Linked DNA regions of Callithrix jacchus. The protein of the gene in region 3 interacts with the protein of the main gene of each other region in a pairwise test. Links are inferred from orthologs where the notes say so. Each region holds a gene or a part of one and is shown on either strand. Other genes may lie near its edges. The genes, in order: RDH12, OTX1, RBPMS, DVL2, FOXP3, FOXS1 and ARID5A.

The links.
Region 1: the proteins of RBPMS (region 3) and RDH12 interact in binary tests that used the Homo sapiens proteins (3 or more experiments, as listed by UniProt). The two-hybrid records come from large-scale screens. The link is inferred for Callithrix jacchus from reciprocal best matches to the Homo sapiens genes RBPMS and RDH12.
Region 2: the proteins of RBPMS (region 3) and OTX1 interact in binary tests that used the Homo sapiens proteins (3 or more experiments, as listed by UniProt). The two-hybrid records come from large-scale screens. The link is inferred for Callithrix jacchus from reciprocal best matches to the Homo sapiens genes RBPMS and OTX1.
Region 4: the proteins of RBPMS (region 3) and DVL2 interact in a two-hybrid assay, tested with the Homo sapiens proteins (2 studies listed by BioGRID and IntAct). The two-hybrid records come from large-scale screens. The link is inferred for Callithrix jacchus from reciprocal best matches to the Homo sapiens genes RBPMS and DVL2.
Region 5: the proteins of RBPMS (region 3) and FOXP3 interact in binary tests that used the Homo sapiens proteins (3 or more experiments, as listed by UniProt). The link is inferred for Callithrix jacchus from reciprocal best matches to the Homo sapiens genes RBPMS and FOXP3.
Region 6: the proteins of RBPMS (region 3) and FOXS1 interact in a two-hybrid assay, tested with the Homo sapiens proteins (2 studies listed by BioGRID and IntAct). The link is inferred for Callithrix jacchus from reciprocal best matches to the Homo sapiens genes RBPMS and FOXS1.
Region 7: the proteins of RBPMS (region 3) and ARID5A interact in binary tests that used the Homo sapiens proteins (3 or more experiments, as listed by UniProt). The two-hybrid records come from large-scale screens. The link is inferred for Callithrix jacchus from reciprocal best matches to the Homo sapiens genes RBPMS and ARID5A.

Annotation. Positions count from the first base shown.
Region 1 is NC_133509.1:102,737,844-102,741,343, forward strand, and holds part of RDH12 (retinol dehydrogenase 12), read left to right. Parts: intron 1-487; coding exon 488-592; intron 593-1,418; coding exon 1,419-1,628; intron 1,629-3,500. UniProt on the Homo sapiens protein: Retinoids dehydrogenase/reductase with a clear preference for NADP. Displays high activity towards 9-cis, 11-cis and all-trans-retinal. Shows very weak activity towards 13-cis-retinol.
Region 2 is NC_133515.1:51,066,383-51,070,369, reverse strand, and holds the start of OTX1 (homeobox protein OTX1), read left to right. Parts: upstream 1-1,187; 5' UTR 1,188-1,255; intron 1,256-1,605; 5' UTR 1,606-1,674; intron 1,675-3,234; 5' UTR 3,235-3,345; coding exon 3,346-3,442; intron 3,443-3,987. UniProt on the Homo sapiens protein: Probably plays a role in the development of the brain and the sense organs. Can bind to the BCD target sequence (BTS): 5'-TCTAATCCC-3'.
Region 3 is NC_133514.1:31,650,394-31,653,893, reverse strand, and holds part of RBPMS (RNA-binding protein with multiple splicing), read right to left. Parts: intron 211-3,500; coding exon 60-210; intron 1-59.
Region 4 is NC_133506.1:73,717,465-73,720,964, forward strand, and holds part of DVL2 (segment polarity protein dishevelled homolog DVL-2), read right to left. Parts: coding exon 3,380-3,500; intron 3,291-3,379; coding exon 3,214-3,290; intron 2,009-3,213; coding exon 1,941-2,008; intron 1,759-1,940; coding exon 1,630-1,758; intron 1,511-1,629; coding exon 1,379-1,510; intron 1,245-1,378; coding exon 1,065-1,244; intron 618-1,064; coding exon 399-617; intron 288-398; coding exon 1-287.
Region 5 is NC_133524.1:49,792,928-49,795,949, forward strand, and holds part of FOXP3 (forkhead box protein P3), read right to left. Parts: intron 2,430-3,022; coding exon 2,342-2,429; intron 2,123-2,341; coding exon 2,042-2,122; intron 1,032-2,041; coding exon 881-1,031; intron 174-880; coding exon 97-173; intron 1-96. UniProt on the Homo sapiens protein: Transcriptional regulator which is crucial for the development and inhibitory function of regulatory T-cells (Treg).
Region 6 is NC_133506.1:7,351,260-7,354,241, forward strand, and holds FOXS1 (forkhead box protein S1), read left to right. Parts: upstream 1-1,167; 5' UTR 1,168-1,231; coding exon 1,232-2,227; 3' UTR 2,228-2,482; downstream 2,483-2,982. UniProt on the Homo sapiens protein: Transcriptional repressor that suppresses transcription from the FASLG, FOXO3 and FOXO4 promoters. May have a role in the organization of the testicular vasculature.
Region 7 is NC_133515.1:6,485,628-6,489,736, forward strand, and holds the start of ARID5A (AT-rich interactive domain-containing protein 5A), read left to right. Parts: upstream 1-1,309; 5' UTR 1,310-1,376; coding exon 1,377-1,380; exon of another isoform or gene 1,381-1,901; coding exon of another isoform or gene 1,902-1,981; intron 1,982-1,982; coding exon of another isoform or gene 1,983-2,104; intron 2,105-2,106; coding exon of another isoform or gene 2,107-2,434; intron 2,435-2,435; coding exon of another isoform or gene 2,436-2,505; exon of another isoform or gene 2,506-4,109. UniProt on the Homo sapiens protein: DNA-binding protein that may regulate transcription and act as a repressor by binding to AT-rich stretches in the promoter region of target genes.

The DNA.
Region 1 (3,500 bases), on a different chromosome or scaffold from region 3:
ACCTTCTGTGGCCATAGGCATAAGATGAAGTTGTGCTGCTGGCATGTTCTTCTGGATCTTGGAAAATGACCAGATTCTTCCAAGGACTATGAAATCCATGAGGGACATCCTGGAACCATGTCTGTCTTGTGTTACCACTGGATTCCTAGTGCCCAGCAGAGTGCACCTGGCCCAGAGTCGGTAGTTAGTACACATTTGCTAAATAAATGAAGGAACAATGTCCAGGAAGATATAAGTAACTAAAATTACTCATTAGAAACCCAATGACAATGCTTATTGGATGTCACTGAGATAGGTCCAAATGGAGGATAGTTATTGACTGCTGAGGCAACACCTTGTCTTAGAAGGAAGGGGCAGAGCAAGTGACTCCTATCAAAATTTTACTCCAGTAAAGACAACTGGAGGCAAGGAACAATTTTGCAGGAGTGTGACAGGCAGCCAGGGGACTCCTCACTTACCACAGGATCTCATTGGTTGTGCCCTATAGAGGAAAAGCAGCTCCATGTTCTGATCAACAATGCGGGAGTGATGATGTGTCCATATTCCAAGACAGCTGATGGCTTTGAAACCCACCTGGGAGTCAACCACCTGGGTAAGTATCTTTGGGTGACTAAAAAATGAGGCACATCTGCTTTGTTTTCTTTAGGAAGATGACCCTGTGTAAATGTGGAGAATGTCCCGGTGCCCTCATAGAGCCTAGGAATTCCAATAGACTACACACATTGACGTGTTGTTCACTGTCCTTCTCCTGATCAGTCTAATAAAGTGAGATCCTCCTACCCATACCATTAAGAGGCTGCAAATTTCAGGAAATACCAAGGAGAGGAATGTCATTCTTGGATGGGAAGTGGCAGTACAAGGCTTGCCAGGCAGGGCCAGGACTGGAGATATGCAGGGATCTGGGCTTGACTGAAGAGGTCACATCTTTCTGAGGGCCAACCAAGCCATTGGCTAGTCCATGGAGGTAGGCCATCCTTGAGAACTTGAGGTATGAGGCAGGCTGGGGTGCAGAGTTCAAGGTGAAGACTTTAGGGAGGAGAGCATGGAACATGTTTTCTGATCCTAAGTTAATGTTATTTTCCCTGACTGTTCCATCTTTCTGTCTATACACAAGTGTACCTGGGTCCCTAGTTATGCTATCATGGCCAGATGGGGAGTTAAAAGCCAGCAGGTTGGTCAAGGGCAGAAGTACAAAGTAATATTGATTAAGTATGATTGCCTTACTTGTAGTCTAGCTCTGGCTCTTGCTTTGAGGAATCCACAAACTCAGACCAAACTGACCATTAGTGTTACTCATGGCATCAAAATTGGTTCACACCCAGAAGGAAGTGAGCTGACACTGAAGTCTTCTCAGTTCCCACACGCTGAGCCCGGGCTGCCATTCCACCTTCAATCTCCCCTGCTGGCTCTCTTCACAGGCCACTTCCTCCTCACCTACCTGCTCCTGGAGCGGCTAAAGGTGTCTGCCCCTGCACGGGTGGTGAACGTGTCCTCGGTGGTTCATCACGTTGGCAATATTCACTTCCATGACCTCCAGAGTGAGAAGCGCTACAGCAGGAGTTTTGCCTATTGCCACAGCAAGCTGGCCAATGTGCTTTTTACTCGTGAGCTGGCCAAGAGACTCCAAGGTAAGTCTGGAGAAAGGGTCAGGATTAAAATAGCAAAAACGGGGGAGGGATAGCCTGGGGAGAAATGCCAAATGTGGGTGAAGGGGAGAAGAAAAGCAAAGCACACTGCCATGTGTGTACCTACGCAACTGTCTTGCATGCTCTGCTCATGTACCCCAAAACCTATAATCCAATAAAAAATTAAAAAAAATAAAATAAAATAAAATAGCAAAAACGGTCCTCAGACCAGATTAGAGGTCCACAGAAACTTGTGAAGTCAGGCTGTCAAACATGCATGTGTCAGCAATAGTTCTGTGCATTAAGGAGAATTATAAATGGAATAAAAACAGAGTCCTTGCCCACAGAAAGCTTAAAATCAAATAGGGGTTAAGAACCTCATGAAGTTACCTTACATTTATGTCACATCTTATCTCTTATCTCATTTGATTTTCACAATAGCTTTTTGCAACAGACAGAGGCTTTTTGTTTGTTTTGTTTTGTTTTGTTCGAGACTGAGTTTCACTCTTGTCGCCCAGGCTGGTGTGCAGTAGTGCGATCTTGGCTCACTGCAACCTCTGCCTCTTGGGTTCAACCGATTCTCCTGCCTCAGCCTCCTGAGTAGCTGGGATTACAGGCACATGACACTACACCTGGTTAATTTTAGTAGAGATGGGCTTTCACTATGTTGTCCAGGTTGGTCTCAAACTCCTGACCTCAGGTGATCTGGCGGCAGAGGAGTTTTGTAACAGGTATTATTACTACTAGTTTATAGAGAAGAACTGAGGTCCAAGGAAATGGCCTACTAAAGAGAATATGGCAGGTGAGGGCGTCAGAACTGGAACATGGGTGCTTGGCTTTAAACCTAGGGTGCTTCCATCTGGGTGTCATTTGCTGAGGTCCACACTGTGATCTGAGTTACAGAGCTGCCACTGCCTGGACTCAGGGAGTTGGGGCTGGATTTCAGACCCCTGGGTCCAAGATCTTGCCCTACCACATGCTAGCCCCAGGTGGATGTGGACGAGTTCCTTTAACCTCCCCTGACTTCATCTTCTCAGCTGTAAAATCAGGTCAGGTCAGTTCTTATTCCTTAATGATTCTGTGCTCCCCTGGAGCACTGGGTGAGCTGGTGGCTCTGACATATGTGGATCTAGGGGACCATTTATTACAGTGGATAAATCAGAGTTTGGGAACATTGCCAAGGTAGTAGAAGATGGTAATCATAAAAAAATTATGACAATAATTGAGAGGTTTATGTGTGCCATGCACTACACATCTTAATTAATTTAATACTTTCAACATTCCTGTGAGGTGGGTGCTATCATTTCCCCCCACTCTACAGATGAAAAGACAGGCACTGGTAGATTAAGAAATTTGCCCAAGGAAGGTTCCTAGCTGAGCCAGGATTTAAATACAGACAGTCCAGGTCTAGATTCCATATTCTTAACTTTACATTATTGATCAGACCTTGGGCCTGCAGCCTGCCAGGTATAACCTTAGGCAATTTATTTAAACTTTCTGTGACTTAGTTTCCTTAGCTGTTAATGGGCATCATAATATTCTACTTCACAAGCCTCTTTAAGAATTAAATGAGAGAATACATTTAAAACGTTACACAGCGCTTGCACATAATAGGTACTGAAAAATAGTGATGGCACCAGGGATGTCTTAGGGGGTTTGTTAATCCCCCATAATCTGCATCACTATCCCTCAATCTATACCTCATAAAATGTGCTTGCCAGGCAAATCAGCTCAAAATAAGGTCTTACCCACCACCTTCCAATCAGATTGCTATCCTTAAACTCCTTCTGTAGAAATGGTAAAGATACCACTGTCAATAATTGATACTACTCACTACATGTTGTCATGTTTATTAGTAGTACTAAAGCCACAGTA
Region 2 (3,987 bases), on a different chromosome or scaffold from region 3:
ACTTTTTACTACTCCTGTCGGGGTGAGGGAGTAGGAGATTAGAAACAAGGGGTAGAAATTCCTCGAAAGGTAATAAAGTGCCTAATTTTCAGGAGGAGGTGCCATTTAAAAGATTCGCCTTACTCGGAGTTGGGACGAAAACACTTTTTTTGCACTTTGAAAAGTCCACCCAGGTAGACGCGTTTGGGAAGTTTGTTCGGCTAGGAAATGGGCTTCACATATACGAACAATCCGGGGAAATCGCCTCAAGGAGGCTCCTTACGCAGCATGTGGAAAAAAAGTTGAGGGCAGGGGTCTGTGGCCACATTTTTCATCTAAAAGTCCCTGTTAGAGGGAGACTAGGAAAGACAGAGTGTGAAAAAGAAAGTTTCCTAGCAAAATGTTTGAATTAAGAAATAGGGTGTGTGTGTGAGGGGAAGAGGACGCTGGGTTCCAATGTTTCAGAAGAAGCGCTTAAGACTTGTAAACACCCTTGGTGGGGACTGGGAACCCCGGGAGAGGCCGACGAGCAGGTAAGTGGCGGCGCCCTTCCAGTGGGTGCTCTTCTCAGGCGCGGGAGTCCCGAGGCGCCGAAGAGAGATCTGCGCGCCCGGAGCTGCTCCCGCGCTCTGCAAAGTAGCCTGTGCTGGCACGAGCCGCCCGCGGCGTCGGTCTCAGGTGGCGGCGCAGAGGAAGGAAACGTTGGGGCCCGCGGCGCCGGGAGAGGGGCAGACGCCCGGGCTCTTCTAGTCCGCCGCCCCCGAGTCCTGGCGCCCACATCCGGGCGGCAGAGCCTGGTAGTGCCTCGGAGAGCGAAGGAACCGGTTCTCCAGCACCTCGCGCTCTCCGAGCCACTCCCTCCAGAGCGCCTAAAGCGCGAGAGAAGGGCCGGGGGGCCCAGGGCAGGCTTGGGGACCCGCGGTCCCCTCAGCGGCCAGGACTCCGGCTCTCCGCTCGCCTTCCTCGGCTAGCTCTGCGCCGCTTTTGCCAGCCGAGTTAGCGCGCGACCGGGGCGGGGCGGGCGGGCGGGCGGGGAAGGCGGGGAGTGGGGGGCGGGGGAGGGCGGGGGCGCGCGGAGGTAACCCCCGGCTCGCGCTGCCATTGCCCGGCTCCCTGTCACTCAGCCCGCGCGGGGCCCCCGATTGGCGGCCTAGCCCCGTTACGCACTCGCCTCGCGTTCACATACCCGGGGAGGGCAGTAGAAAGGTGATCAATCTTCATCAGGCTACATTTCCAATCACCTAAACAACCGAGCAAGACAAGCCACTCCGACAAGGTAAATCGCTTGATTTATTTAGTTTGCAAAGTGACTGTGCAGGACTTCCCAGTCCCCACTGCCTCCACGTTGTATCGGGAGTGCCGCGGCAACGCCGAGCCACCTCCCAACTCTGCCACTCGAATTACCCCCCTTGCGGCCCCTCGGCGCGATTCCCGGTCAGGCAATGTCCTGAGAACGCGTGGGGCTTAGCAAACAAAGTGTCTGTGCAATAAAGTGAAACCCTTAGGGACACGCACAAAGCCACTGGAAAAAAAGATAGACGTGGGAGGAAAGAAGTTGAGAAAAGAAAGAAACCGGGGGTCCTAGACCAGCCGCCGGGGTAATTCCTGTGCCGCTCTGTTTTGCAGGTTGGCTGCCCGGCGGGTCTCTGTGAGGGATCCAGGTAGATGGTGAACGGCCCCGGCAGCTGAGGGCAGGTAAGGAGAAAGCCGCGGGGCCACCCGGGACTCCGGGAGCGCGTTGGTTACCCTTACCTCCCCCTCCTCAAATGGATCCTCGCTTCCCGGAGCCCCAGCAGGTGGGCGGGGCTGGGGGAGCGGCCTGACTCCCCTCTGGGTGCGCGGAGGACCCCGGGGCGCTGTCGCGGCCCGCCGCCCCCTCCCCCGCCTCCTCCGAAGTAACCGAGCTGAAGTGCTAAGTTTGGAGAAAGTCTTTGAAAACTCAGGCTGCAGCCTCGCAGAGCCGTCGCAGCTTTGAGTCCCATTTTCCTTTGGCCTAAGAGCCCTGGCTGCTTCCCTTCTCGTTCCCTCCCTACAAGCTGGACTCCTCCTCTGGCCTTGGGTCCGAGAGGACGGGGGCAGGAACGGGGCTGGGGGGAGCTTCTTTAACTCCAACTTCTCTCCCTAAACGTCCTAACCCGAGTCCCTGGCCTGCTTCACAGCGATCCCGCAAAGCGGGGTGTAGCGACGGCCCCCTAGAACCCCAGGCCCACTTTCCAGTGCCCCTCCCTGACCCTTGAGAGTGGCGCCTGGGTTCTCGGCAGCAGCGGGGGCAAGGCTTCGACCTCCCAGCTCGGGTCTGCGTGGGCTCTGCCGCTGAGGCCTAGTTCTCTGTTCTCAACAGTGTCCTGGGGCCTCGGGTTCAGCTACTAGGATGGCAGCATGCAACTTGCTGCCCTCTGGCTTCGCAAATCTCAGAGACCCTTTAAGGTGCTGGGCCCCAGCCTTCACCCCCTGCTGGGACCATGTGGTCAGAAGCCCAGACTGGGCAGAGAGAAGGACGGGTGCGCGCTGGCAACGAAGGGCGATGGCCGCAGCTGAGGCGCTCCTGACCTCAGGCCGCGTCTTGGGATCGCCCCCTCTACAGTGTTCCCTTCAGCGTCCTCTGGCCCTCTGCGGCCTGGGCCCGTTGCTGCGGTTGAAGTGTGGTGTGATTCCGCGTCAGCGATTTTTCAGTGGTTGGGCATAGAGAAGTTAGCTGGAATGGTTATTGTGGGCTCTGGGGCAGGGACGCAGCCCTGGACGCGTTAGAAGAAACCAAGTGTCTAGGTGCATAAGAGGTTGAGGTGCAGTTAGTCCTCCACATTGCCTCACCTTGGCCCTTCATAGTCTCTACCTTTTCAAAAACACTGAAACAAAACGAAACAACCCTGCATGCTCTGGGCGCCCTGCCCCGGGCACCAAGTGAACTTTTGTTTGTGCAACATGAAGCCGGCTTCTGCCGGACTCAGAATTTTGCCTGGACTTGGGAGGTTGTACATTCTGTGTTTCCAGCTCTACCTCCCAGCCTGGCCCTGCTTTTAACTTCTTACTCTATGGACTCCCTACCAGTATCTTTGGCCCATTCCGAGCCTAGAGCTAGAGGACCTAGAAAACTTTACTTTTCAAAGCAACTGTGGTTTCTGGGCTAAGTCCTTGTGGAGGCTAGTTGACCACCCTGCGGAGTTCTGTAACCTGCCTTCCCTGTCTATCCCCGGACAAGACTTGAAAGCCAAGTGCCTCCGACTGATGGTTTCCGTGTGTATCGTGTCTCCATAGGCCAGGCCCCCAGACGCATCAGAGCCTGAAGGACTGCGCAGTGGGAGCCCTGCACCGCTCCTGGCCCCGGGCCCCCTGGATCTGTCGGGGCGCCTCCACCCAGCTGTTAGCATGATGTCTTACCTCAAACAACCCCCATACGGCATGAATGGGCTGGGCCTGGCCGGGCCTGCCATGGACCTTCTGCACCCCTCCGTGGGCTATCCGGGTGAGCACCGGCCTTCCGGCCCCTGCCCAAGACTCTCAAATGTTGGGGACCCTCAGACTGTTGGGTTTGAGTGTAAGCTTTGTTGCCGAGCAGGCCCAGGGAGCCGATTGCCTAATCTGTTTACAGTACAGGGCCCACTGTCGGCGCACTGAGCAGACTCGTGGGCGCATGAGGTGGCCAGGGCTGAGAAAACGCCCAACGTGCGCCTTCCCGGCCGGGTCACCGACAACCTTTCTCCTGTTGTGGTCCCATCGCCAGCGCAGAGCGCATTTACCCGCGGATTTGCTAGTAAGGGGCGGCTGATGATTTTCCTTTTCTCCCAACATGGAATGAGTAATCTGGACACTCGTTAGGCCCTGACCGAAGGAGCCAAACTTTCCTTATGTGAAACGGCAGGTGGACTGAAAAAGGAAGATTCTTTCTCTCGAATTAAATTGTCCTCTAAATCAATGTCCTGCACCCATTTTTGCACTGCTGTAGAGGACGACTTGAGTCAAACCCCGGTTTCTTTTTTAGCTCCCACTCGTTTACACCATTTATTTTCT
Region 3 (3,500 bases):
GCAACACATGAACAATTCTTAGTTGTTATTATTTCTAAATGAAAAGTAGATTGACTTACATGGCTCTCTGGCAATGAATTGAGGTACAGTGTTGGGCAGAGGAGTACTGGGGTTTGGAGTCCCTACGAGTTTATTCTTGGCCATCTTCGTGTTTGCCTTAGCAAACTCTAGTCGCAGTGTTTGCGGGATTTCAGGATCAAAGCGGATGCCCTTTGGAAATAAAGAACAAATGGAAGATGTTTTCATTTCTTTAGTCAAACCAGAATGGTGACAAAATAAACACCAGTAAACCTGGTCTATCAGGAAAAAAGGTCATTCTTACTACTTACACAGGTCACATGAAAAACGACAACACAAAGAATCCCAAAAGTCAGTGGGATTTAGTTTACTTAAAAAATTTAGTTACACAGATTTTCAATACCCACCTTTTAGACAAAAGGTTTCCAGTTTAAAATTTGAACCAGCAAATTCCTAGCACAGTTACACATCTTAATGTACAGGAATTTAAGTTACCTTTGACTCTATTCCTGAAAGTTTATCTAAAACATCATATTTAGTAAAATAAATCACAAACACTGTGAAGGACAAGTTAGGGCAAGAGAAGTCTAACTGGAACCATTCCACCATTCAAGAATACCTTCATTATTAAGCATCCAATAACATGAATTCTGGACCCTACGCATCAGAAAGATATCCAAAATAGACTGCATTTTAAATGTGCACCCATGGGACCCACTCAGCTCCCATGATTATATCACCATAGAAAGGGATTGGAGTCCTGAAAATGAGTCTCCTATTAACACAGTTGCCATCTAGTGTTCTGAATGTACACAAAAAGGCCTGTGGGCTCCAAAGCATCCCCTGCCCCCCACCGTTCTTCTTAATGAGCTTCAAGAAAAGTAAGAGCAATATCCACAAAAATAAGACTCTCTTACTCCAGAGACCAGGATGAACAACTCTGAACTTCACAGACTCAGCTTCAACATACAAGGAAGAGCCTGTGGCTGGATGGTAATGGCATCAAGAGGAAATAAGTGGGCAAGGGGAAGGAAAAAGAGGTCCTTAGAAAGGCCTAACAAAAGCCACAGAGCCCTGATCCAGAAGTCCTGGAGTGGGTGGGATTTCTTCATGAGCACTGAGGGCCATAGCAAAAGGGTTGGGGAGAATACCCTTGTGCATACCTAATCAGCACCAAAAAGCAAAAAAGACAGTGTCCATTTTGTGAAACATAAAAACAAATTTTCTTAAATTGGTGTTGGTAGTATGCGTTTTTTTCTTTTTAAATTTGGGAAACCTCAATATTATTTTGCCGAAAAAGTATACAAGAAAAAACAAAACCAAAAAACAAAGCTGCATTCTGAAGCAGGCTGGGGGAAGTCACAAAGGACCTCACTGAGATGGACCAACTTCCACCCTAACAAAGCTAGTAACACCACAGAATACATCTTTCCAAGAATGGACCTGCAGAACTGTGGTCTTTGCTGGGAGACAAGCACAGTCCTTGGGTGTCATGTACAGGTATGCTGTGGAAGGACTTGCTCATTTGCACCACACTCCATCAGATACACATAATAGCAACTTCCCATCAACTTCAGGGCATACTCCCTTGGCACTAAACTTGACCAACCTTCCTGTGAAGAAGACACTTCCTAAATCTGAGCTCGCATGACCATGAATCATGTGGCCCAGGCCACTGGGGATAACATGGAGTATCCTGGGACCCGATCGTGGTCCTCTAGAGTGTCTAGCCTCAGAAAACAAGGCTGCACATGCGAATTCCATGCCTCAGCTCTTTCACTGGTGTTCCAGAATCAACTGAAGCTCCGCATAATGTACTTGTCTCTTACACAACCTGGGCTGGTGGCTCAAGTCCTAAAACAGGCTGAACTAAGTTTCCCTCACTCCCTGTCCCCTTCTTTTTACCCCCTTCCTCCCATCTGAGCTAAAATAACATCAACATAGTGTTCCAAATCAAAGTTCCAGCATCCTTATTAAAAAAAAAAAAAAGCTCAGAAGTTAAAATGACCTAATTTGTTTGGCAGCTTATTCAGAGGCCAGAGGCTCAGAATACAAGCCACATTCCTCTAACATCTTTAGCAGCAATACCATATTTGGTAATCAATATCCTGCTCAGCTAAGTTTCCATCCATAGGGATTAGCCAAGCCAAAAACATTTTAAGTGTTATGAGTTGATGAAGAGGAGAGAGAGAGGGGCAGGAGAAGGGAGAACACGGAAATGAATAAGAGAAGAAAGAAAAGATGAAAGAAAGGCAGACAGGAAGAAGAGACAAAAGAAAAAACATTCCTTGTGTTTTTAATTAAAGCCTACTAAGATTCTTCTCTGGCTGCAGTTACTTAACATTACATGCTGTCAGGATAAGATTACTGGCAAGTGAAAGGGTGAACCTGTGTCTTTCAAAACCAACCTTTTCCTTTCTTGCTCATAATCCACTACTCTTCTCGTAACAATATGTAAATGGTGTCCTATTTATTACATGGACCAGAAAGGACAGTTTCTGAGTATCAATATATTAATTTGCAAATAAACAGTTACTTACAAGCACCTCAATCTGACTGGCTACAGGGACAGCCAACAGTCTCATCAACTGACCCAGGTTCCATATAATCTACAGAGACTGAATTCCCCACCCAGGACAAACTCTGAGAGATAAAGGACACTGCTTAGAAACAATGTATTTTTGTTAGTCCAGTATACTTAAGAGTATACCAGGGCAGTTTCATGCCAGGGAGCCAGGGAAGGCACCAGAGGAAGTGATGGAAGAGTAAAAGTTTACCAGGTGCAGTTCAGGAAAGAGCTCAGCAAATTTCTCAGTAACAGGATGCAGAAAGTGGGGTGGGGTGGCAGAACAAACAGGCTAGGGTGAAATCACAAAGGACCTCTTATGGGACCTCTTATGCTGTGAGTGAGGACTTTGGAGTGCGTGTGTGGCTGAGCCATTAGGGTTTTTAAATGGGAGGATAATATGATCACCTTTATATAGTAGATCTGTGATCCTCAAATGTTAGCAGAATCAACTTGGAGGACTTGCTAGAGTTTCTGATTCAGTAGCTCTGAGATGGAACCTAAGAACTTGCATTTGAAACAAGTCAGGGTAATGCTGATGCTGCTTGTGCAGGGAGCACATTTGAGAATCACAGTGGTTGGCGGTAACTCTAGAGGTGTAGAAATTAGACAGACTCAGTGAAGAGACCGGAACAGATCAGACATCGCACCATTAGAGCGGCCCACGAAGAGAAGCTGGGTGAGATGGCTACTGCCCTCTAAGCCTTCTTCTTTGGGAAGGGTACTCAGGGGCCAATGTCTGTGTTCTGCGCCTTTATTCCTCTGACCACAGCTGCCTACTTAAGGGGCAGCTGCAGCCCAAAATGACAAAAACTGTTTTCCCCTAAAAAGATTTCAACCTTGAGCCTATATAGAGACACAGAAAATGGTGTTGACCAAATTTGAGTCACCTTAATAGCCTCTCACTAGAGAAAAA
Region 4 (3,500 bases), on a different chromosome or scaffold from region 3:
GACCACCATCATGGGGTTGTAGGGGAGGGCCATGCCAGGGGGTGGTCCATAGGGATGGAGCCCCGGGTGGGCTCGGAGATTAGGGGCACCCCCACTTGAGCCTCTGGAGGAAGGAGGGCCCCCATCGCCAGTCCCACTTGGTTCCCCACCCCACCGAAGGCTGCCCCCTCGGCTGGAGGGCTCAGACTCGCTGCCACTGCCGGATTTGGACTCGGGGGCCCGCTCCTCAGGCCTCCCTGTGCGCCCTGCCCCCCCATCACTTCGTGTCGACCCACTGCTCCGGCTGCCTGTGGAGGGAGGGGAGGGGAGGGGCAACTGAGTCCTCACCCAGGCTCCTCCCTGGCTCCCCTCTGATCCACCCTCAGACCTGGCTTATTAGGTATCTGGGGGTGACTTACCCTCACTGTGCTGGCTGCTGGCACTGCCCCCACCATAGGTATAAGATGAAAGCTCATGGTAGGGTGGGGGCTGCGGGCTGTAGGGATGTGGGGCTGGGTACTGGTAGGAGAAAGTGGGCAGCAAGGGCCAGGGGGCAGCCCCAGGCAGAGGGGCCAGGGTGTCCTGGTCTGAAGCCCCACTGGAGCCATCGTTGTCATTGAGAGACAGGTTAACTAGGTCTGGAAAGCAAGGGAAGAGAGTAAATCACTGCTTCAAAGAGACTAGGGCCCTAAGACACTGAATGAGAGGAACTGGAACAGTTCTCCCAGACCCACCCACGATGGGGCTCAAAACGGGTTCACAAGGGCCTCTGACAGGAAACTCCCATCTACTTCTGCCATGAGGGCAGGACACAGCCAGGGCCACCACTAGCCCATGCCTCTGCGGGACTCAGAAAGAGGTGCACCTTCCCCCGGTGGACAGTCCTGCACCTGGCGTGGTTTGTCCAGCAGCGCATGGGTGGACGTCAGCCCCCATCCTTGGCCAGTGCAGGACCTAGTTCGGGACACATGCTGCTCAACCATCCATGGTGGCCCTGGCTGCGGTTTCTGGGCTAGGTCTAGGGTTGGAGAGGCAGAACAAGGCAGGCAGAGCCACACTCCCAGAGTCAGGGCAGGGGGACTCACAGCTCTCACAGCCACCACTGAGGTCTCCGAAGATGTAATAGCACTGCTCAGAGAAGGTGATCTTGTTGACAGTGTGTCGAATCAGGCCAGCTTTGAGCAGTCCACTGGCATATTTTCGGGCCTCCCGCCGCTCTGGAAAGCCCTCCACATGATGGTAGAGCCAGTCAACCACATCTGAGCCTGGGGGCACCCACAGTGGAAAAAGGGCTCAGGTTCTCCTTCCAACTCCTGCTCTCACCTCTGCCTGTGCTGTTCCCAGCTTCGGTCACCTCCTCCTCCCCTTCTCCAGCCACCTGCCCAGGACCCAGCCATACCCAGGAAGGCATTAGGGATGGTGATCTTGAGCCACATGCGGTCCCGGACTTCCAGCCCAGACTCTGGAGCTGCCATGGCCTTAGTGACCGATGCCATGTCTGTGTGGATGGAGAGACCCCGGCCCTCACAGCCTGGTGGAGGAGACAATGGGGCATCAAGAGGCAGGGTCACTCCCACAAGGGCCATGGGTCACACCACTTCGGGGCAGCCCTCTGGCAGGAGGGTGAAATGAGGTAGGCTGGCAGCTCACCATCAGGCAAAGAGGATCCTGATGTAATGGTGCTCATGGAGGAGGAGCCTGGGTAGGCTGGGAAGGTGCCAGTCAGAGCCGCGGAGTGGGACACCCAGGCAGCAGGGTCAATTGGCTGGATGGGCTCATCTGGGACAAAGATGGTACCAAAATGACCCCTTCTCAGTCCCCAAAAGCCAGCCCAGTCCCTCCCTGACTCAGCCTCCCGTTCTACCTCTGCCTGGACCTTCCTCCACACATTCCCCATAATCAGAGGCCAGCCCCAGCCACCCCCACCACCAACTTCAGGCCCCTCCCTGAGTGTCACTCACTTCGGGGGAGGGTGAAGTAGGCCTGAGGAGAGGGATCCCAGCACTTGGCCACAGTCAGCACGATGGGGCTATGGGGAAGAGAAGACCAGTCAAGGGCTCAGGGGAAGAAGAGGCCTGGGGTGGGGGGGCGCTGAAGCAAGGATGAATTAAGAGACACAAAGATGGGGAGAAGCCAGCATGTCTCAGCTGGGCTAGGGAAGGTGAGGGTGGAAGGCACCACAATGTGAATGACTCATCAACATGGAAACTCTTAAAAACATACTGCCAAGTGAGACGAGAGTACACGCTGTACAATTCCATTCAAAGAAAGTCCAAAGACAGGTAAAACCGCGCTGTTCAAGGATACATGCAAGGGTGGTAACTATGGAGGGAGGTAAAGCTTTTCTTTGTTGTGGTGATGACCCGGGAAGTCAGCAGAGTGACTAGCCCTGGGGGGTGAGGCATTGGGGAGCAGGAAGGGGGGTCTGTGGAGGGGGATCTAGGGTGTCAGCAATCTCTATTTGATGGTCTAGGTGGTGGCGACATGAGTATTCGCTCTAGTATTATTTGCTACATCACGAATTTGTTTCATGTACTTTGAGTGTTATGTCTTACTCCCCCTTTTTTTTCTTCAGAGTCTTGCTCTGTTGCCCATGCTAAAGTACAGTGGCATGGCAGTTCACGGCAACCTCTGCCCCTGCCCCAGAGTTCAAGCAATTCTCCTTTCTCACTCCCCACTAGCTGGGACTACAGGGGAGCACCACTATACCCAGCTAATATTTTTTTTTTTAAATGGAGTTTTCACTTCTGTTGCCCAGGCTGGAGTACAATGATACAATCTTGGCTCACCGCAACCTCCACCTCCCAGGTTCAAGCGATTCTCCTGCTTCAGCCTCCCGAGTAGCTGGGATTACAGGCATATGCAACCACACCCAACTAATTTTATATTTTTTAGAAGAGAGAGGGTTTCTCTATGTTGGTCAGGTTGGTCTCGAACTCCTGACCTCAGGTGATCCGCCCGCTTTGTCCTTCCAAAGTACTGGGATTACAGGTGCGAGCCACTGCACCTGGCCATTTTTCTGTTTTTAGTGGAGTTGGGGTTTCACCATGTTGGCCAGGCTGGTCTTAAACTCCCGACCTCAGGTGATCCACCCACCTCAGCCTCCCAAAGTACTGAGATTACAGGGGTGAGCTATTGGGCCTGATTGTCTTACCACTTATTAAAATTGCAAAACAAAAAGTTAAAGGGGGAAAAAAAAAAGACTGACGACCTGCAGCCTGCTCAGCAACTCACCCAGGCTTGTGCACAATGTCCCTCAGCACCCGCACGGCGTCATCATTGCTCATGTTCTCAAAGTTCATGTCATTCACCTGGAAGCGAGGGGAAGGGGGTCAGAAGCCGGCTGGGAGAGTATGAGGGCCCCCACACAGGGCAGCTCAATGGCCCTGCCCCAACACACCTGCAAAAGCATGTCCCCTGGCTCAATGCGCCCATCGGCTGCCACGGCCCCACCCTTCATGATGGAACCAATGTAGATGCCTCCATCTCCCCGCTCATTGCTTTGGCCCACAATGGAGATG
Region 5 (3,022 bases), on a different chromosome or scaffold from region 3:
CTCTGAGGGCACTCAGAGAGAGACAGGAGTTCAGGAGGCAGGTCCCCCACCCCGTCTTTCTCTTCCTCCTCCTTGGGGCTGAGCTGCTCTGCTTACCCAGCGGATGAGCGTGGCATAGGTGAAAGGGGGTCGCATGTTGTGGAACTTGAAGTAGTCCATGTTGTGGAGGAACTCTGGCAGAGGGTGGGGATGAATCAGGCCCCATGTAGGACCCCCTAGCTAGCTCCCTCTCCCCTCCCCCTACAAGGTGAGTCTACAGGCCTGAGATCCCACCATCAACACCCGTGTCCACGGGCACAGGTACTGTCTGCTGAGCACCTGACATAAGTTGTTTAATTTATTCTTTGCACCACTTCTGCCAAAGTAGTTCTCCCTGAGGTTGAAAAGAAGCGGAGTAACTTGCACACCAAAGGGATGCAAGAGGTTAAATGGCAGAGCTGGGATGCCAGTCAAGGTCTCTGATCCCTGCTAAGCCCAGAGGCCAGGCCTGGTGGAGAGCAGTGGATTGGTGAGCTTAGGTGAATCCATCCCATTTTCCTTAGTCAGGGGAGGAAAGGAGGTGTCCCTGTAATTCCTTAGCAGGGCCCTCCCTTCTGATGACTGAATGGAGTAGCTGGAGTTCAGAGTGGGTGACGCATGACCCCAATCCCCAACGGAGACAGGGCTATGGCAGGACACTTGAGACTATACGGGGCTTTTAGGTCACGGACATCCTGAGAGGAAGCTTTTGTGAGCGGATGCATTTTCCCAAAGGCTGAGTGGTGGTAGCTGTGGTGGTGGTGGTGGGAAGAGGCAGTATGGAGCTCCTTTGCACCCTCCTCCCAGAGCCGGTCAGGATTAGGAGCTTGGGGACACTGTGTAGTGCAAGGACCATTCTTACCTGGGAATGTGCTGTTTCCATGGCTGCCCCACAGGTGCCTCCGCACAGCAAACAGGCTGTCGGGGGCCTCCCGGGGGCCAGACCAGGCTGGGACCATGCTGCCTTGGCTGCCAGCAGCTACAATGCAGCAGGAGGCCTTGTCAGATGATGCCTGGGAGGGGAAGAGGCTGGTGACCCAAAGGCTTAAACTTCCCACTTTTTAATTTTTTTTTCCTTGCTCTGATTGCCCAGGCTGGAGTGCGGTGGTGTGATCTCAGCTCACTGCAACCTCCGCCTCCCAGTTTCAAGCGATTCTCCTGCCCCAGCCTCCCGAGTAGCTGGGATTACAGGCACCCACCACCACATCTGTCTGATTTTTGTATTTTTAGTAGAGCTGCGGTTTCACCATTTTGGCCAGGCTGGTCTCGAACTCCTAGCCTCAGTTGATCCACCCATCTCAGCCTCCCAAAGTCCTGGGATTACAGACGTGAGCTACTTCGTCTGCCCCTACTTTATTTTTAAAACAGTGTTTTTCAAAACAAGGACGCCCTCTTCTTAATTCCAGTCTGGGGTGGAATCCCACAAAACAGCATGAGTCGTATTTATTAGAGCACAGGTGCAGACACCATATGTGGCCACAGATGCTGGGACCATGAGCTGGGGTTGAATAGGGGTTTTTGCCACCCAACTGTGACCTTGGGAAAGTCACCTAAACCTCCCTGGCCTCAATTTTCCTAATCTCTATATTGACATCCTGAGAAATAAATTACCACCAGCAAAGCACTCAGAAACAGTGCCTGGCCCCCAGGGCGGCTTCATGCGCATGTGACCTGTGTGGTTATGTGACACCCTGTGCTTTGTTTAATGCTCTGTGGTTGCCATGTTGAAATCTGAACAAGGGGCCTGTAGGTTACATAGCTGGTCCTGCTGGCACACAGCCTGTGTCTTTGGCTATTTGCATTTGCTTTGACAACTCAGGATCACAGTGTTTGGGAATCTTAGGGTCAGAGGGTTTGCAAGTGGAGGGGGATAGATTTCCAGGTCCCGGCATGTTTGGAGCTGGGGACAGGGGCCCCTAGCTCTCAGGGCCTGCATGTGAGGTTAGGTTCCCTGCACCCTGCAGGCCTCCTCCCTGCCCCCCAGCAGTCTGAGTCTGCCACCAGCAGGCCTGGGGTTGCTCACCACAGATGGAGCCTTGGGCACTGCCATTTTCCCGGCCAGGTGGGCCTGCATAGCACTCAGCTTCTCCTTCTCCAGCACCAGCTGTGAAATGGCACAAACATGAGGCCTCAGCCTGGCCTTTCTCTGCCACATCTTTGCCCAGGCTATGGTCTTCAATGGGAGTGCCCGCTCTTCTTCCTTCCTTTATACTAGCCCGCGTCCCGGGTGAACTTGGTTTCTGGCAGGTGATGGACAGAAGGTTTTCCCCACTATCCCTATTCCCTATCCCCTGTCCCCTATCCCCCACTGCCCCAGAATTACCTGTTGCTCCAGAGACTGTACCATCTCTCTCTGGAGGAGACATTGCGCCCTGCCCTTTTCATCCAGAAGATGGTCCTCCTGGCAGTGCCTAAGTAGGGAGAAGATTCCATGCAGGTGACCATGACAAGGCTGGCCTGGCTCAACGCTCTGAATGGGTGGGGGGGCAGGCCCTCTGGGAGGTCTCTCCTCTTAGCTCCAGCTCCCCTCCCCTTTCTACATCAGTTTCCCTCTCACACCCCTCATTCCCTCAACATGTGCCACTTGGCACCTACTGCATGTCAGGGCTGAGCTTACCACCTGGCCAGGGTGCTGGAGGTAATGTTGGAAGTGTGGTGAGCTGAGATGGGGCGAGGCAGGTGAGAGTGGGTAAGACACTGAGTGGAAGGGACGGCCTATGCAAAGCCTGGCTACAAGGAGGACAGGACATTCGAGTTGCTGCTAAGGATTGTGCATAGTGTGTGGGGTATGTGTGTGTGTATGTGAGAGAGAGAGAGGGAGAGGGAGAGTGGGGTGTGTGTGTGTGTGTGAGTGTGAGACAGTGGGGGGAGAAGGAGAGGGAGAGGGAGGGAGAGGTGGAGGAACTGAGAGGAGGCAGCAGCAGCCATCTGGAAGAACTGGAACTTTGGAGACATGGAATAAGGCTGGCATGTTGGCATGAGGAGTAGCAGGGCAAAGCAGTTA
Region 6 (2,982 bases), on a different chromosome or scaffold from region 3:
ATAGCTGTCCTTCCCAGACCAGTCACTAGGGGGCGACAGGGGCTCAGCAGAACTGAATTTCGTGGACTCTCCTTATTACCATCCTAGGTGCCCCTCCCTGCACACACCCCAGAGCTAGGAGGTGGGGTAGGAGTGCTGTGGCCCCAAGGGCTCTGCCCCACAGGAGAAGGCAGTAGACCACAGGCCTGGGAGGAGGAGAGGGAAAAGCGGGAGTAGAGGTAGAGATCAGAGAGGCCCCTGGGGCTTTTCTCACTCTAGGGAGACGGGGCTCAGGCCCTGCCTCTCCTCCTCTCTCTCTATTCACTCCTTTCACTCCTTGTGTTTGCACCTGTGTCTCATTGTGTCTCCTTTCTCTCTGGCTCTGTGGATTTCCTCGATTCTGCCTGCTCAGTGATTCTCACTTTCTCTGTTTAATACATGTGTGTGCTTGTGTGTCTGTGTGTGTGTTTGTGTATATCTGGGTGTCTGTGTGTCTGTGCTTGTGTGTATGTCTATGTGTGTGTGTCTGTGTGTCTATGTGTGTTTGTGTCTGTATGTCTGTCTCTGTGTGTTTCTGTGTGTGTGTATGTCTGTGTGTGTTTGTGTCTGTGTGTGTCTGTGCTTGTGTGTATGTCTATGTGTGTGTCTGTGTGTTTGTCTGTGTCTGTATGTGTGTCTGCATGTCTGTGTGTGTCTGTGTGTCTGCGTGTCTGTGTGTGTGTGTCTGTGTATGTGTCTCTGTGTGTGTCTGTGTCAGTGTGTGTGTGTGTGAGAGCCTCTGTGTCTCTGTTCGTTGTATCTGCCTCGTCTTATCTTTGTCTCTTCCTCTCTTTCTCCCTCCTCTCTCTGTCTCTGTCTCTCTTTTTTCCCTGTCTCTGTTTCATACATTTCTGCCTGTCTCATTTTGGTTTTGTCTCTGGCGTGCTCAGTTTCACATCCTGTCCCTCCCCAGCCACCACCTCCCAGCACACGTGGGCTGAGGGTCTCAGTCCCTTCTTTCCCACCTCCTCGTCCCTGGCAGCTGCTTGGCCTCCCACTACTGGCCTCTCCTGCCCGCCTCTCTTGGCCCTTGAGGGAGTGGGGCGAGGGAGGAGGGGAGGACAGCTCAGCAGACCCACCCCTTTTTGCCTTTCCAGGCTGGGAGGCTGGGCCAGTGGACCTTTTAACCAGCCCGGGCAGGCTGTTTTTGACGCCAGCCCTGGACACGGAGCCTGACCCGCCAGGTCCCGGCAGCCCGGCCAACACAGCCAGCATGCAGCAGCAGCAGCCCCCGCCCGGACCCCAGGCCCCTGCGGCCGAGTCGACCAAGCCTCCCTACAGCTACATCGCCCTTATTGCTATGGCCATCCAGAGCTCACCGGGGCAGCGGGCCACCCTTAGTGGCATCTACCGCTACATCATGGGCCGCTTTGCCTTCTACCGCCACAACCGGCCCGGCTGGCAGAACAGCATCCGCCACAACCTGTCACTCAACGAGTGCTTTGTCAAGGTGCCCCGCGATGACCGCAAGCCAGGCAAGGGCAGCTACTGGACGCTGGACCCTGACTGCCACGACATGTTTGAGCACGGCAGCTTCCTACGCCGCCGCCGCCGCTTCACCCGGCGGACAGGTGCGGAGGGCACCAGGGGCCCTACTAAGCCACGCCGTGGACCCCTCAGGGCGACCAGCCAGGACCCAGGAGGCCCCAACACCACAACCGCCAGGCAGTGCTCATTCCTGCCAGAGCTGCCAGACCACAAGGGCCTAAGCTTTGGGGGTCTGGTGGGGGCCATGCCAGCCAGTATGTGCCCAGCAACCGCTGATGCCAGGCCTCGGCCACCCATGGAGCCCAAAGAGATTTCCACGCCCAAGCCTACAGGCCCAGGGGAGCTCCTTGTGGCCACCGCATCTTCCTCATGCCCAGCATTTGGCTTTCCTGCTGGCTTCTCTGAGGCTGAGGGTTTTAACAAGGTCCCTACACCTGCCTTGTCCCCAGAGGCAGGCATCGAGAGCAGCTACCAGTGCCGGCTGCAGGCGCTGAATTTTTGCATGGGGACTGACCCAGGCCTTGAGCACCTCTTGGCCTCAGCAGCCCCCTCCCCTGCACCACCCACCCCTCCAGCCTCACTCCGAGCCCCACTGCCCCTGCCAGCTGACCCCAAGGAACCCTGGGTTGCAGGTGGCTTCACTGTCCAGGGAGGCTCCGGCTACCCACTGGGGCTGACCCCCTGCCTATACCGGACGCCAGGAATGTTCTTCTTTGAGTAAAGGCAGCCTCGCCTCGGGCAGTCCCTGCAGGGCCCTTGCCAACTACACCCTCTGGGCTGAGCCTGGCTCTAGGATCTGGAGAACTCTCGAAGTCCCCAGCCCTGGCGAGACAAGGACAACCAGGATGAAAATCCAGGATGGAAGCGGTGCTCAGCCAGGCCCCTGAGGCCTCCGGACAAACTTGGGGGTGAGGGGAAGCAGGACCCCTTGGGACTTACTCTGTGGCTCTCAGGGCCAATAAAGCCATGTGATCATGAGGGTCAGCTTGCCTGGTGGCTGAGGACCAGGGTGCCTGGTTGTATGTGGGGTGGCTGTGGCTGGTAAGTTGTGTATTCGGGGCAGAGCCCCCGGGTAGCAATGTCTCACATGAGGTTTTTCTCCTGCTGGGGACTTTCTCAGGGAGTTTCCCAGAAAGGGAGAGGAAGGGGAGGCAGAGAACAAGGGCAGAGAGAGAAGGATACAGGCAAGGGAGAGACTGGGCAGGGGCAAGGCTGGGCTGGCCTGAGCAACCTATTCTCCCGTCTCAGACGCTGGGACTCAACAGCCCCCATAGGAGCAGTCATCATAACTCTGATAATTTGTGACACTGATCCTGTCCTGGGCTTGTATATATCATCTCACCTGTGTGATATGGAACGCTGGCCCCGTTTACAATGGTGGAAACAGGCTCACCAGCTCCAACTCCGGATGGCAAATGAGTGGCAGAGAGGATATCAAAGCCACATCTGTGTGGCTGTACCCTCCAGCCTCTGACC
Region 7 (4,109 bases), on a different chromosome or scaffold from region 3:
ATCTTCCAGCCCAGGGCCAAAGGATAAGGGTCAGAATTTCAGGTTCACCAAACTACATCCCTGGTCCGCTCCTTTAGTGTAAGGAGGAGCACCAGCATGACGAGTGGTCAGTAATGGGTGCAAAGGGAGTCGGGGGGATGCCTGGGTCTAGCTCTGGCTCCAACACCTGCCTGCTGAGTTACTTAAGTTAATCTATCAGACCTCAGTTCTACCCTATAAAATGAGGACCTACCAGCTGTGTTACTTGAGCTAATCTAGCAGACCTCAGTTTTACCCTATAAAATGAGGACAGTGATGGTGTCAAGTGCATAGAGCGTATTAAAATTCATCAACAAAGATTTTTGTGTAGCTTCTACACAAAATCTACACAGGGAACCCTGTCCCTGCTAGGAACAGGGTTCATGTCCTAACTAGCCACCTGCTAAGACTGAAACCCTGACCCACTGTTTCCTCCACTTTGGCCCCCACAGGTCCAAGTTACTGCTATGTCTGGCTGGGCACCTCCTCCTGCCTCCATTCACCCTAGGCCTCATTCCCACCTCCCACAGCCTGAACTCATGCCCTCTCTTTGGACTGCTCAGCTTGTAGCTTCCACTCTGCATTAGGTATGTGGACATTGACTATTACTGGCGGGCCTAGCCACAGAGCCTAGGCCAAGGATTTACTAGTTTGGTCCTTGTCTAACTCACACTAACCACCTCTCCTGTTTGTTGTTGTTTTGAGTTTGTTTGTTTTTGAGGCAGGGTCTCCATCTGTTGCTCAGGATAGAGTGCAGTGGTGTGATCAAAACTCACTGCAGCCTCTACCTTCTGGGCTCAAGTGAGCCGCCCGCCTCTGCCTCCGCCTCCCAAAGCGAAGGGATTCCAGGCGTGAGCCGCTGCTCCGGGCCTCACCTGGCCCTCTATGTTGGGCTGGGTGGGAAGTGGGAAATGCACAGGGTCACTTTCAAATCAAAGTCAAAAGCACTTTGCTTACTCCACAGTAAGCAAAACTTACTGTGTAGACCTCAGTGCTCTACTGAAAGCAAGGAGGATTTATCCAAACTCTAGTTTTGCCTCCGGGAAAACTGAGGCACAAGGCAGCAATGATTCCTGGGAGTCCTGCCTCTGCCCCTCTAGGAAAGGAGCCTATTCTAGGGGCCCTACTCGGAAGGGAGGGCGCGCACCACAACTCCCAGAGGTCCCTGGGCTCCGGGGGCGGTCCCGGTACGAAGGAGCCGGGCCCACCAATGGGAGCCCACAGTGGGGCGGGGCGGGGCGGGGCTGCGGGGAGGCGACCGGCCGGCGGCACCGTGAGCCAGTAGCTACAGGAGCGTCGAGTCCGTACGGCTACGCGCTGAGGGTCTCTGGGCGGGCGCCGCCGGACCTCGCCGGGCCATGGGTAAGTGGCTCTGCGGACGGCCCAGGATCTGCAGGGAGGGCCAAGGCGGTGGCGCCGGGTCCCCCCAATCCTCGTCGCCGTCGGTGGCGCCGTGGGGGGCGGAGAGGGGCGCGGGTCCCGGGGAGCAAGCCTGGCCCATAGTTTCAACGCCCCCCGGCCGGCGGGGAAAGGGTGAGTCTGGGCGTCCGCTCGCGCTTCGAGAAAAGGAAAGACAAAAAGTTTCGGCGGCCAGGGGCTTCCCGGGCGTTTATCTCGAAACTCTTTTCGCCGACTCCTGCCTGAAATGTGCCTAGCCCGGTACGTCTCTGTAGTCCCACTTCCTGCTGCGGTTTCCACCTCGAGCTGGGCTCAGCTAATTTGTTGTGACAGCTGTCGGCAGCCACCCCTCCGCCCCGTGACATCCCGCGGGTTTTAGAACCGCGGCGCCGCGGGGCACAGGAGCCGGGTCTAGGGCGCGCGGCGCTTTCCTCTGCGGCCGCCGTTTCCTGAAAGGGGCTGAGCGGGTGTGAAGAACTTGCTCAATGCGCTTTGAAGGCTCGACTGTTCCTCTTTCGGCCGCGGGCTGCGCCGATGGTCCGGGGCGCCCGGCTTCTCGCCCCCTGTCCTTTCTCTCTTTTCCTCTCGGGTCTCTCCGCGCACCCATCGCAGCCCCGCAGGAGAGGGGTCGCTTCCCTGGTTGCTCTCCTCTCCTGTCCCGAGTGTGTCCCCTTCCCTTCCCTTGGTCTGAGAAGGGACGGGCTGGCGGCCGGGGAGCTCAGGGAGAAGAGGGCAGGAGCGCAGGCTTCGAGCGTGCGGGAGATTCCTGGCTTCGCGCTCGGCCCGAGCTGCGGGGCAACCCGGGACCGCACACAGTCACTCAGCGGTGTCCAGGAGTCGCCTGGGCCAGGGTCGCGTCACCCTCCACTCCGCGCCGGCGTGGTAGGGCTTTCGGGATGAAGGACTCCCGAGGACCCAGGGGGTCCCGAGGCACTGCGGGGCCAGTGCCCCTTTGTTTGCAGAGTCTTGGGCCAGCAAGGAGGGCTCTGCGGGCACCAAGGGAGGACAACAGGTGCCTCGCCCCACCCAGGCCTCGTTGGTGGAAGCCCACACGCATGGTGGCGTCTTTGTGACTACAGGCAACGCTAGAGCACAGGAGGAGTGGGAAATGGGGGCTCGAGGGCTTCACCCCACAGCAGAGCTCAGAGCCCAACCTAGGCCGTAGGGACCCGCCTGGGGCCTAGAACTTGACGCGGCAGAGACGGAAAGGGCCTCCGAGAATCTGCCTCTACAGTTGGGAGACATCTTGGAGAAGTCACCTGGCACCTCTGAGCTTCTGCCCCCCGTAGGTGCAATGGGAACACACGAAACCTGCGGAGTTCTCACTGTCAGTCACCACCAAACGTGGCCGAGACTCGGTGGGGCGGGACAGTGAGGGTTGAGCCCCATCCTGGAATAGGGGCTTTTAGGACATCCCAGAGCCCGGTAAGAGGGACAGGGAGAGTGGGGCTTGGAAGTTGGTAGCCTCACATTCAGTGTCCCGCGCACCCTCTTCCCTTTCTTTACCCTCTGGTGGCTCCTGTGACCTCAGCTGCCCCCAGACCCTGTCTCTCTCTCCCTCCCTCAAGCTGAGGTACTGAGGCTGGGCTGTGGCTTGAGCTGCACCTGTGCCCTGGTGGGGATGGGGGTGGGCCCAGGTCCATCGCGTTTCTCCTCATTGCTGGCTTCAGCTCAGCCCTTGGCAGGCCTCCCCTCCCCAAACTGCCAGAGCAAGCTCCGCGGAGACTTGGCCTGCCGCCCCTCCCCAGCCGCCGAGTGGACCCGCCGCTTCTCGGCTTCAAAGGCTGTCTTTGTTTCGCTCCAGCTCAAGCTCGGAGAAACTTAAGCCAACAACCTCAGCCGAGGGGGTGGGGCGGAGTCTGCCGGTTGTTATTGAGGCTGCTGTTACCATTATTGTGGTAATTGACGCAGTGTTCCCAGTCCGTGACTTTTCATGAAAGGAAGTGTCACTTCCTTCCCATCACACCCTGGGTGAGTGGGGCGGGCAGCAGAAAGTGGGGAGGGAAAGATAGAAGGAAAGAGGTGTGTGCCTCCAGCAGACCCTTAAGCTTGAGAGCTGTGTCACCGTGGACTACTTAGTCACTGCCCCTCTCTGGGCAACAGGAGTCTGTAAGTCCAGTGCGCTCATCCTGCTGCACCCAGGAGGCTGATGTTTCCGGAGCACCGGCTCGGCAGTGAGGCGCCTTGGGGAGGGAGCAGGACAGGCAGACTGTGGTTTGTGGGGGAAGCCTCCTTTCTCTTCTCGGTTTCTTCTGCTGAGAACATTGGGTGCTTTGAGTCTAGCATGCCCATCTTGTAGATGGGGAAACTGAGATACAGAGCAGTGACCAACTTGATGAGAAGTGCAGCCATGAGTTGCTAGAGCCCCTTGGCCTATCTGTCCTCTTGGTCTACTCTCATCTGCTTCCAGCCTGATGTCGGCCAGGGCAGGGGACCAGCTGACTTCCCCACATCCACCCACTGCCCAGTCCCATAGCTACCTTCTAGTCCTGGCTAAGCCTCCTGAGACATTTAAGTTTGTCTTCAGTGACTTTTGCCCACTGCCCCCCACCCCCACTGCCTTCACCTTCCTGCCTTTGCATATTTCCCCTTTGCCAGGTTGGCTGAGCCCTGGCTAGAGCTGGCCCCCTACTCTCTCAGGTAACAGGTAGTTTTTTAAAATGAATCTCAGTAGGTATCAACAGGTCTTTCTT